Drosophila melanogaster: one gene and its partner. The protein of the gene in region 1 interacts with the protein of each later gene in a pairwise test. Each region holds a gene or a part of one and is shown on either strand. Other genes may lie near its edges.

Region 1 (5,931 bases):
GCGCCAACGTCAAGGAGGCCGTGGAGCTGCTGGTTGGCCGGGTCATGGAGCGGATCGAGAACGCGGCCTGCAACCGCGAGTTCTCCCTGCTACTGACCCAGTCGCGATGCCTGCCGAACATCGCCTACGGTCAGCCGGAGGACCTGGTGCGCCTCCACGATCGGCGAGAGGAGCCCTGCTCGCGGCGCAACTGCCGCAACTGTTAGGTGCCATGCCCGTGGCCAAGTCACCCTGCTTTGTTCCTTGACTCGTGTTTCCGAATCTAAGTGTGTTTCGCTGTAAATAAATGTTGATTGTTGAGTGGAAAGCGTTTCATTGCACGACAAGATACGAAGAGGTCGTTGTAATTATCCGACTCTTTCGAAACCGTCCAGATTTGTAGATTGTAGATAACTGATAGCTGCGGAATGGCATTCGAGGTACCAAAAGTGATTCGAAAGATAGATACATACATAGGTTTGCATACGGTAGCTCTTAGATTCAGAGCTGTCGCTACATTGTACGTGAATGTGTATTATGAATATTTTGTTTAGAACATAGTTACTACATAGACTAAAGCACTGGCATGGATGCCGAAATGGTGGCTATAGCCACGACCCCGAGCACCGCATCAGCAGGGGCAGGAGCAGGAGTAGGAACAGTCCGGTAGCCAGCCTGGAATGGGGAGCCCCGCTGCGTCCCTCTATCCACTGGCGGTAGTACTCCACGTCCACGTAGACTCCCGGCAGTCCCGGCTCTGCGCATCCGTAGCCCCAGGAGACCACACCCACCAGACGGCCCTCGTGCACCAACGGTCCGCCGGAGTCGCCTTGACAAGAATCGGTGCCGCCCTGCAGGCGTCCTGCGCACATCATCCCGGGCAGCAGGCCGGACCTGTAGATCATGCGGCAGGTCTGGTGCCGGATGGTGCTCACGTTGGCCGTCAGCAGGATGTTGGAGAGGGAGCTCTGGGAAAGAGTCAGATAAGCTGCGGGCTCAATGGCTTGCCTACGGCTCTACAAATCCGACTCACCTGCTCGGTTCGACCCCAGCCGGCCACCTGGCACAGCTTGCCGGGGGGCGTGATCTGGCCCGCCAGCTGGATGGGGGCCACTGTGAGATGGACACCACCGCCTGGAGACATCGGCAGCCCGGTGCGCAGAAAAAGGATGCCCACGTCGTCGCGCATGCTGTCCGGGCTGAAGGTGTGCATGTAGGCCATGGAACTCACCTGGGACACGATGGTGCCATTGCGGTGCTCGAAGCGGTTCAGCGTGCCCAGAACCACTACGAATTCGCTGGCCCGCCGAAAGCGCTTTCTCTGATTGCTGCTGGCATGAGTTCGATCAAAAGGGAGCGGGCACCCCATGGTGGGATCACTACTTACTTGTACAGGCAGTGCGCTGCGGTCAGAACCTTTCTGGGCGCGATTAGCGCCCCGCCGCAGATGTGGCCGCTTCCAAAGTTGTTGTCGTGGCGGAGAAGGCGGATGGAGACCAGGTGGCGCGTCTCGTCCGCCTTGGCCACGCTTCCATTGATGATGCGCGACTGCTGATTCTCCTGAAGGTCCGCCGCCGCGCAGGCGAGAAGGAACCAGAACAGAATGTAGCTGCAGCCGTGCAGGCCAAACTGAGTCATCGCAGATCAGATGAGAAGAAACAGAGCGCACGAAACTCACTGAATCGAGGGGTCGAGTCTGGGAGCCAGCAGCCCAAACTAACAATTGGCAATCAGCGGAGGCGCTATCAGTTCGATAAGGCAAACATAAACATATTAGGTGTAGATCACATCCGCACCTCATCACCAGGAACATGTAGCTGGGGGTCATGATGGGGAAACCAGGGCGGAGATGATCAATCTGATCAGTACGTTTAGCTTCGCAAGTTCAAATAATACATTTAATTCAATGTTGATATGTCTCTACACCAGTTTGCTTATAAAAGGTGGAATATGGTCTAAAAATTTAAGCTGTAAACATTTTTGAGCCTATATAAAAAGTATAATGGTAGATGTGTAAAAAGTTAGTGGATCTTTTTGGTCGCACTGATCTTACGTTTAGCTGTACGTGCTATTTAATACAATTACAAACGGATACGAGCTGATCTCGGCTGAGTCGGCGTGTATATAGATACATATGGTCGATTGTTAAAGGCACTATGGACGGCGTCGATTGCGCAGATTCGAGGCACGAGATTGCGTCTGAAAACTTAAGCTAAGATCCAATCGGAACGGAATGTATGGAAGTCGGGCGGACAGCTGTTATATGTAGCCCTGCAGGCTCCGCGACTGGCTGTGGTGGTGGCGCGGCGGCTGGTAACCCGGCTCCTGCATCTCCATTTGCATTACCAGGTTCTTCTGCTCGCCGCGGGCGTCGTAGGCTTGCCGGGCCTCGCGCTGCAGGATCAGAGCGGCTAGACCAAGGAGCATGAAGGTGACAACGGCCAGGGCGTAGGACCAGCCCAGCACGTTGAACTTGGGGTACATCATCCAGTCGCGGCGGTAGGCGCAGCCCCCGAAGATGCATACGGCCAAAAACATGAACAGAGCTGTGGGAGACCGCTGTTTAGCTAGTACTTATTGGGCGGGAGGCAGATACATACACGAGATGGCGGTGCCCATGTAGGAGAGGCGGACGAGCAGCCACTCGTACTGCAGAACGGCCTTAAGAGGCAGTCGGATGATGGTAAGCGAGAGCAGGGCCAGCACAAGGAACACGATGATGAAGGACATGGTCACGAAGCCCTGCACCGCCATGAGCCAGCCGGGCAGCAGATACTCACGGATAACGTAATACTCCTGTACGAGTGGGAGAAGATCAGGACAAGGATAAGAACCGGCCAGTTTGCTGTACTCACGTGCGAGAAGATGTTGTGGCAACCGGTGAACTGCTTCAAGAACGCGTACTTGGGGTACACGAAGTCCTTAAAGCAGTACTGCCACAGGCCCATGTTCTTGAAGCTGGCCCGCGTCTCCTCGTAGGACTCGATCCAGTACGGCGAGCAAAAGGACATCATCAGCACGAAAAAGCTGGCGAATGTAACTATGGCGCCGAAGACCACGCCATCTGGAAAGGGAATTGGGCATTGAAAGTATTTGGATGCAAATGCAGATCGGCCCGCATGCTTGAGTGCGTCACTTACTGGTGGCCCGCGGATAGTCGCCCTTTTCGACGCCCGAGTCCGTGGTGTCCTGCGACTGCTGCTTGTTAAGTTCGCGCATGCTGCTGTCCTGGGTCTCGAGGGATCGCAGTTGGAGCAGAGGAGTTTCTTTTCTGGGGATTGTCAGTAAACAAATACAACGCACACACCCAAAAAATGCAGCAACAACTAGGTGGGGCTAGCGATGGGACAGTGTCGATAAGAAATGTGGTGGGGCTCGGTCGATATACCGCGAATTATTTCAAAATACCTTTTTATTAAATTTATTACTTTAGGCTTGTTGATCTTCGGAAAGAGGGGCTATTTTGCAAAATGCTGTTTAAATATAAAACAAACCCATGCACAATCGATATTTTTTCACCCCTAGGTGAGCCCAGTGTGACCAGTACTTAGTGCAGAATACCGTTCTTGGTTTTTAATTCCATTCATTTCGTTCAATAATTACTATTTTATTTAATGCTGTTTGAGAAATACGATCATGTCCATCAAATGGCCCCGTCCACCTCGTGGTGCTCCAGGTGCTTCATGTAGGCCAAGAAGCAGGTCCAGCACAGGCTGCACGCGCTGATGAATGGCACCCGGTTGCGCTCGGGGATCAGGGTGAAGTTGATGGTGGCCACCAGTGGCCATACGGACAGAGCCACCTGCAAGAGCGATGGAATTGGTGGGTTAGGCGGCAGTTCTCCCTCGAATCCCAAAAGAGTACCTTGTACGTGGGCAGGAATTTCTTGCCGACCTCGGCTACCGCCTGCTCCACCGTCTTGGACTCCAGGAGGCTCATGATAAAGTAGAAGCAGGTCATCGCGCCGGGGGTGTACGAGATCGTCTCCACCGCCGCCTTAATGACGCCCGTCCTCAACGATGTCTGCGGCCACATGGCGCTGGAAATCTGAGGAGCAATCGGAATAGGAGTAGACCTAAACAGCAGCCATGTAAACGGTCACTAACCTTGACCCATCCGTAGAGGGTAGGAGCAACAAACAGACCACCGTACATGCTGAACCGGAGCACGCGCCACCAGTCGTAGGTGCCTGTAAGATGAAGACGAGAAGGATAAGGAGCTGAGAGCTGCTCGAAAGAATGCCGACTCACCCCAGCGCCTGCCCTCAACCGTTTGCTGGATGAGGCTGCCCGTGGGCCAGATCAGGCTGTACGATATCATGCCGCGCATAATCGGGTAGCGGGTGACGAACACCTTGAAGTTTTGCCACAAAAGTGGGCCCGCCATCGCAATCTCGGCCCTGCGGAGTCACAATCGCGCGGTTGGCATCTCATTAGCATGGCTAATACTTCAGGCCCACAACTGCATGGCCAGCTCTACCCACATAAAACCCACAAGCGAATGCGGGCCCCAATATTCCATAAATTGCCCTGCTCTACCTGTGAACCGTGCACATAGATGGCCGTCATGGCTTGGCTAGCAAGGCTCGCACTTTTCTACACGGCAACCTTCCTTCTGGCAGGAGCCTCTGGCGAGGATGGAAAAATCGTCAACGGCACTACAGCTGGCCCGGGGGAGTTTCCCTTTGTGGTCTCGCTGCGACGCGCGAAGAGCGGACGTCACTCCTGCGGCGCTACGCTGCTCAACCCGTACTGGGTCCTGACAGCCGCCCACTGCGTGCGAGGCTCCTCGCCAGAGCAGCTCGACCTGCAGTACGGCAGCCAGATGCTGGCGCGAAACTCCAGCCAGGTGGCCCGCGTGGCCGCCATCTTCGTCCATCCAGGGTACGAGCCGGAGGACAAGTACGTCAACGACATCGCATTGTTGCAGTTAGCGCAGTCCGTCGCTTTGAGCAAGTTTGTCCAGCCGGTGCGTCTGCCGGAGCCTCGACAAGTCACGCCCGGAAACGCCAGTGCTGTCCTCGCGGGCTGGGGATTAAATGCGGTAAGAGAGAAGCCATTCCTCCTTCAGACTCCTTGACTATCGACTGAACCTTTCAATTGTAGACGGGCGGCGTGGTCCAGCAGCATCTGCAGAAGGTCAAACTGCAAGTGTTCAGCGATACCGAGTGCAGCGAGCGCCATCAGACCTATCTGCACGACAGCCAGATCTGTGCGGGATTGCCCGAAGGTGGAAAAGGCCAGTGCAGCGGCGACTCCGGAGGCCCGCTGCTTCTTATTGGCTCCGACACCCAGGTGGGCATTGTTTCTTGGAGCATAAAGCCCTGTGCACGGCCACCGTTTCCGGGCGTCTTCACCGAGGTGTCGGCCTACGTGGACTGGATTGTAGAGACGGTAAATAGCTATTCGCCCCCGTCGTCGCTTTGGGTGGGCCAGCTGATTGTGGGACGATCCCCGCCTAGCCTAAGCAGCTAATGGATTTAACAGGCCCCATTAAAATACGGATTAACATACGCTACCGCTATCTAATTCAACAATTGGCCTAACAATTGGGAGTCACAAAAGGTAACAAATACGACTCAGGTAACTATGTACAAGGCAGAACCGCGGAGTTCGACTGCTCCTCGTGGTGCGTCTTCATGTACGCCAGGAAAATGGTCCACATCAGGCTGCAAATGCTTACAAACACCACGCGGTTGTGTTCCGGCACCAGCGAGAAGTTAATGGTCTGCAGGATAGGCCAGATGCATACGCCGACCTGGAGGGTTAGTAATGAGTTGGATGTTAGCGAGGGGAGCAGCAAGCAACGGGATAGGCCATACCTTGTACGTGGGCGCCGCCTTCTCCTTCGTCTCTTCCACGGCCTGACTAAAGGTCTTCAGCTCCAGCAAGCTCATTCCCATGAAAAAGCTTACGCAAGCGAATGGTCCGTAGGAAAGCTGTTCCGTGATGG
Region 2 (5,071 bases), on another chromosome or scaffold:
GCTTCTTTTTCTTCTTCTTTTTGTCCTTGGAAGGAGTCTCCTCGGATACCGCCGCCGCAGCAGTTTCCTCAACGCTGGAGGTGCTTAACTTGCGCTAAAGGAACACAATTATTTAGCAAGTGAATACCATGTTAAACTCATTTTCAATAACATACTTTGCTGGGTTCACTGGAGCCATTTGTGGGGGAGACTTCTTGAGCTGCTGGCTTCTTGGCATTGTAGTCGACATAACCGGTCAGCCACTCCTTAGGTGTGTTTTCATTGGGCCTTCCGAACTTGTCTAGCTTGCCGGCGGCAATGAGCGCCTTCTTGGCCGACGCCTTTGGTCCCAATCCCCACTTGCGCGGGTATGTGTCTCGCTCCATGATCACTCGCTTGATCTTGGCCACCACACCATGGTCACAAGAGGCCATAGTGGCTGTGGTCATGAGGGCGATGGCCAGGCAAATGGCCTCACCCTTGGTGGTGCAAATGACGATCTCCTGATCGATTTCAATGCCATCCTCGTAGCGCAGGACACCGGGCAATGTAATCTTGGCACCATAGCAAACGGCGTTGACCTGGAGAAAGATTGATGGTTGTTAGTTGATATCATAAGGGGGTCCTTTGCTAGAGGAAATGTCGACCGAATATTCTTTGTCGAGCGCGCAGGATAAGAGCGCTGCCCAACATACACACATCAGCAGCTTTGCTGTTCCCAATCATAGTCACAGGTGCCCGTGGGGATTGCAGGCACCTGCCGGCTTAATATCATGGGGTACTACTTCGCAAACGGCAACTGGATGTCAAACTTACCGAACTGTCCTTCATAATAATGCGCTTGTGGTTGACCAGCAGACCTTCTAGCGGCTTGATCACACGTCGCAGCATAGACTCGTCCTTGTGGTTTTCGTACAGCCACATGGCGTCCAAAACATCGTGCATGGTCACCATACCATCGCGCTCAGACTGAATGCCCGAGCGGACACGGCGGAGCTCCAGCATCTGGCCACCGACACCCAGTACGAGACCAAGATGGACGCACATGGTACGGATGTAGGAGCCGGCCTCGCAACTAACCCAAAAAACACCTGAGCACGTGAGTGGGCAGAATTGGAGGAGAGAAAAAGACGAGGTTTTAACAATTACATTGTGCATTTGCTGTGTTAGGCAAATACTGGTGTTTCACTGGCTGAAGCAGGCTGCACCTCTGCAGGATAAACTAATCCAGCAGCGACGCACCAACTCTGAGCGAGAATGGATAAACAAAACTTCTGACTTACCCATATTTCGGGTTTCATCGTAGTCCAACAGCTTGCTGTCGTAGACAGTACGAACGCGCAACTGACGCTTTACGGCGGAGATGAGTGGAGGTCTCTGGAAGAGGGCACCACGCAGCTTCTCCAGGCCCTGACGCACCTTGGCCACCGACTCCACGGCTCCGTGCAGCTTGAAGATGGCCACGTACTCCTTGCCGGCGCTCTGCTGGGACTTCACCAGACGGGTGGCCCTGTCAATACAAACAATCAGGCAACCTGTAGGAAAAAAAAACACGCGGCACACAATGAGGTTAGGTTTGTATGGCGGTAGGCGAGCACGCGCTTCACTTACCCGTGACTTTGGGATCCAGCGTGCCGGAGTGGCCTGTCTTCTCCACCTTGAGGATTTTCTTGATCCAGGCCACCACCTCGTGGGAGCTGGGGTTCGACGGCTTGTCCAGGTTGATGAAGCCAGTCTTCATGTACTCTTTGATGTCGCGGTTCAGGGGCGACGATCCGTGCGCCAGCGGAGTGTAGTGGTTGGAACGGATGTTCAACTTGTCGAAGTTCTTCAGGAGCAGCGGCCATTGCGAGGTGTCCAGCTCGGCGATCTTGGAGGAGGGCTTGATTTGGAAGTTGCCCTGCTTCTGCAGCGTGCCAATGTCATCGCCGTCCAAGGGCTCCTCCTTGATCTTCTTCTTTTTCTTCTCCTTGCGTACTTCTGCGGGCGCATAGTCCGTTTATTTGGGCACTCTTTTAATTCATCACTTGCCAGACTTACCCACGTCGGCCATTTTATCTACGTTTTCTGCTAAATCAACTAATAGACGGAGAGAAACCTCCGCACGTGTTGCGCGCTGCGAGAAAATGGACGAAAAACACGTGGAGTGCGCGGTCTATCGATAAGTGTGACTACACAGAAATGTATTTCATGAAGACATCGATACATAAATGGAAATCTTGCGATATGTCATCGTGAGCCGAATTCCTTATTACAATTTTGAATTAAAAATATGTATTATTCATAAACAAAATGAATTTAAAGGTATTTACTTTGACGTAAACATTTTTAATCCATTAAAGCATTATTTAATTGAAAAGATATGTTATGTAAAACTGATACACTGTTTATAGTACGGTGAAAATGTTATGTCCTTAGAATCCACTTGTTTTTGCGATGAAAAGTCATACTACCCTACTTTTTAACTGACGCGTGCAAGCTGATTGCATTTGGCGGGATTTTGAAAATCAGAAACTGCTGAGTAAAAAATATCGAAATATTGATAGTTCCAGGCCCAATCGATACTATCGCCAGTGATCTACCAGCTGTGTTTCCCAACCGGTTGTTTATTTTTCTAAACTCTTAAATTAAATTAAAGTAATGTCGAGGCGAGGACTCCTACTAATGGGCCAGTGCATGCCCTGCATCAAGCAGAACGCCTCCAAGATCCGCATTCGCCGAATGGAGCTGGACAAGAACCTGAATATGGTGTGCATAATATACATTAGATCTCGCCTCAGGAGATTTCACACAATTTCCCTTCTGCTCGCAGTACTTTAAGAAGGACGAGTTCTACTTCGCCCACGATCCGCAGAAGGTGTGCAAGACCGGGGACGTGGTCCTGATACGGGAACTGCCAGAGCGCCTCACCCGCCTCATCACGCACAACGTGGAAAAAGTGGTCTATCCGCTGGGTGACATAACGGACCCGCTCACTGGCAAGAAGGTGGTCGTGGGCAATTACCGCGAGGACATCGAGATGGCCAACCAGCTGTTCGGCAAGTCAGAGAAGGCCTTCGACTACGAGAAGGCACCGCCCCGCGGTCGCCTGGAGGGAACCAAGGACTTCACCCACGGGGAAACATACATCAAGTACCACGAGGATGGCAAGGATCAGCCGTTCGCCGTTTAGAGCTCTGCCGGTCGTTTATCTGTTAAGTTTCCCCTTTGTTTAATAGTAAAGTGCATTAATATGACGTACATATGTTTCTCGGTTTTCTTATAAAATGGTTAGGCCGACGAAAGAAGATATTTTTATAGGTTTTTGATTGCTTGAATTGAATTAAAAAGGCAGGTTTAAAAGATTTCTCTACATATTTTATTTTAATGGTCGATAGTTGTTTTTTTTTTTTTGCATTTATTGATGATTTGTTGTGTATACGTATAAATGTATGCATTTTCAACTTCCTCTCGCTGATCAACAGTTTTTGATTATTTAATTTTTGAATTTTCCTAATTCAAACGATTTTTCCGCGCCAGGTGCCAGGACACATCCGCAACACCGAAACGTGCTGCACACGCACATGGTTTTAGAGTTCAGATTCGGTCCGTGCCATAAATTAAGCTGAATACTAATCACAATCTCTTACGATCCTAAAGTTGTACTGGAGTATGGGGTTTGCCGGGTGAGCGTTGTCGTCGCACAGTTTTTGCTGCAACGAAAAGGAGGCTAGAGTCGCTGGATTTCGCGTTAATGCGTCCGGATAACGCACCTGCTCCAGGTCGTGGCTGGCGCGGAGCATAAACTCCCGTAGGAAGTAGCCGCGGGCGGGAAGATCCAGGGCCAGGCTCAGTTTGTTCTTGCCCTGCTGCTTGAGGATCTTCACCCCGCTGGTGGACTCGGCCTCGTCATCCTCGTTCAGCTGGCCGTTGGCACTCGGCTTGGCCTGATCCTCGTCGACGCAGATGGACCACTGCAGCGGCTTGTTGGAGCTGTTGGATATAGATGGTAATAAAATAAGTGATTGTAAAGAATTCATTAGGAGTCAATGGAACTTTGAATGGGTTCAAGGGCAGTATGATTTTGTATGTAAACACATACTGCATTTGTATCTTTAAGATACTTTAAGATCTTACCGAATTCGAATACATTTGTTACAGAATAATGAAATAAAGTGTACCCAACTAACCTCAGATGGAGCTCCAGACTACTGGCCTGCAGATAGCGCGATACCGGAACCACATAGCTGACATTGAGGGAACTGCCCGAGGTGGGACAGAACTGCTCCACGTCAATGGTGTGGTTGTACTGGGCCGCTAGGACGCAACTGGCCACACTCCAGCAATCCAGCTGGAAGGGCGGCAGCACGGACTCGTCGGCCTTCGGCCCCTGATCCTGCCCAGAGGCGGATTGCAGAAGGCGGTAGACGGGATCGTCCTTGGCTGCGACCACCGGTTCGGTCTGCTTCTTGGTCAGGGCGTCGGTGCCGTGTGAGCTCTTGCCCAGGAATCCCGGCTGGGCCTCCAGCGCGGCGGAGGTCTCATTGCCTATTGAGACAGCGGGTTGGGTCTCAACGATGTCCGGATCATGTTCCTGCTCCTCCGCCGACTGCAGATCGTCCTCCACGTGCTGCTCCTTCACATTGGCATCCACATTGTCTGGCTGAGGATGAGTCGGCGGCAGTTCCTCGAAGCAAACGGACTGGACAGGATGTAGAATAAGTACCTGGATGCGCATCACTCTAGCTGAAGCTTACCTGACAATTGTCGCTAACCGACTCATCCCCATTGCACTCCGCTGGCTGTCCAAAGATGGCCGTTTTGATGTCCTTCTGTCTGATCCACTCCAGACTCCGCTGATTGGCAGACCGCCTGCCCAGATTGGACTCCCGCAAGCCCGACTCCTGGTACTCGAATCCGAACACCTGGGTGATGGGATTGTCCACGGACTCGTTGGTGTTGCTCAGGTTCTGTAGGTCCAGAGCATCGGGATTGTCGCTGCTGTTTCTCACGGGAAGAGCCGGGGGCGGCACATCCAGAGCGTGTGTTAGTGGACTCTGGGCGGGCTCAGTGCTCACCTTGTTGGTGGTCAGAGCCAGATTGGCCGTTGGGG

The links. Proteins that work in one complex are often made in the same cells at the same time.
Region 2: the proteins of pck (region 1) and mRpS17 interact in a two-hybrid assay, tested with the Drosophila melanogaster proteins (one large-scale study listed by BioGRID).

Annotation. Positions count from the first base shown.
Region 1 is NC_004354.4:1,468,252-1,474,182, reverse strand, and holds pck (pickel), read right to left. Parts: upstream 3,518-5,931; 5' UTR 3,388-3,517; intron 3,336-3,387; exon of another isoform or gene 3,316-3,335; 5' UTR 3,199-3,315; coding exon 3,120-3,198; intron 3,044-3,119; coding exon 2,835-3,043; coding exon of another isoform or gene 2,776-2,834; coding exon 2,580-2,775; intron 2,526-2,579; coding exon 2,239-2,525; 3' UTR 1,858-2,238; downstream 1-1,857. Other genes in the region: Rab27, read left to right, coding at 1-206; CG14780 (uncharacterized protein), read right to left, coding at 585-947, 1,013-1,307, 1,367-1,617; CG14778 (uncharacterized protein), read right to left, coding at 3,623-3,781, 3,844-4,026, 4,086-4,168, 4,230-4,365; CG32808 (uncharacterized protein), read left to right, coding at 4,537-5,022, 5,085-5,453; CG14777 (uncharacterized protein), read right to left, coding at 5,566-5,736, 5,801-5,931.
Region 2 is NT_033778.4:24,171,916-24,176,986, reverse strand, and holds mRpS17 (mitochondrial ribosomal protein S17), read left to right. Parts: upstream 1-2,545; 5' UTR 2,546-2,619; coding exon 2,620-2,727; intron 2,728-2,791; coding exon 2,792-3,151; 3' UTR 3,152-3,322; downstream 3,323-5,071. Other genes in the region: Nop60B (nucleolar protein at 60B), read right to left, coding at 1-94, 156-560, 796-1,070, 1,263-1,514, 1,591-1,959, 2,020-2,032; CG3328 (uncharacterized protein), read right to left, coding at 3,591-3,671, 3,732-3,951, 4,149-4,660, 4,716-5,071.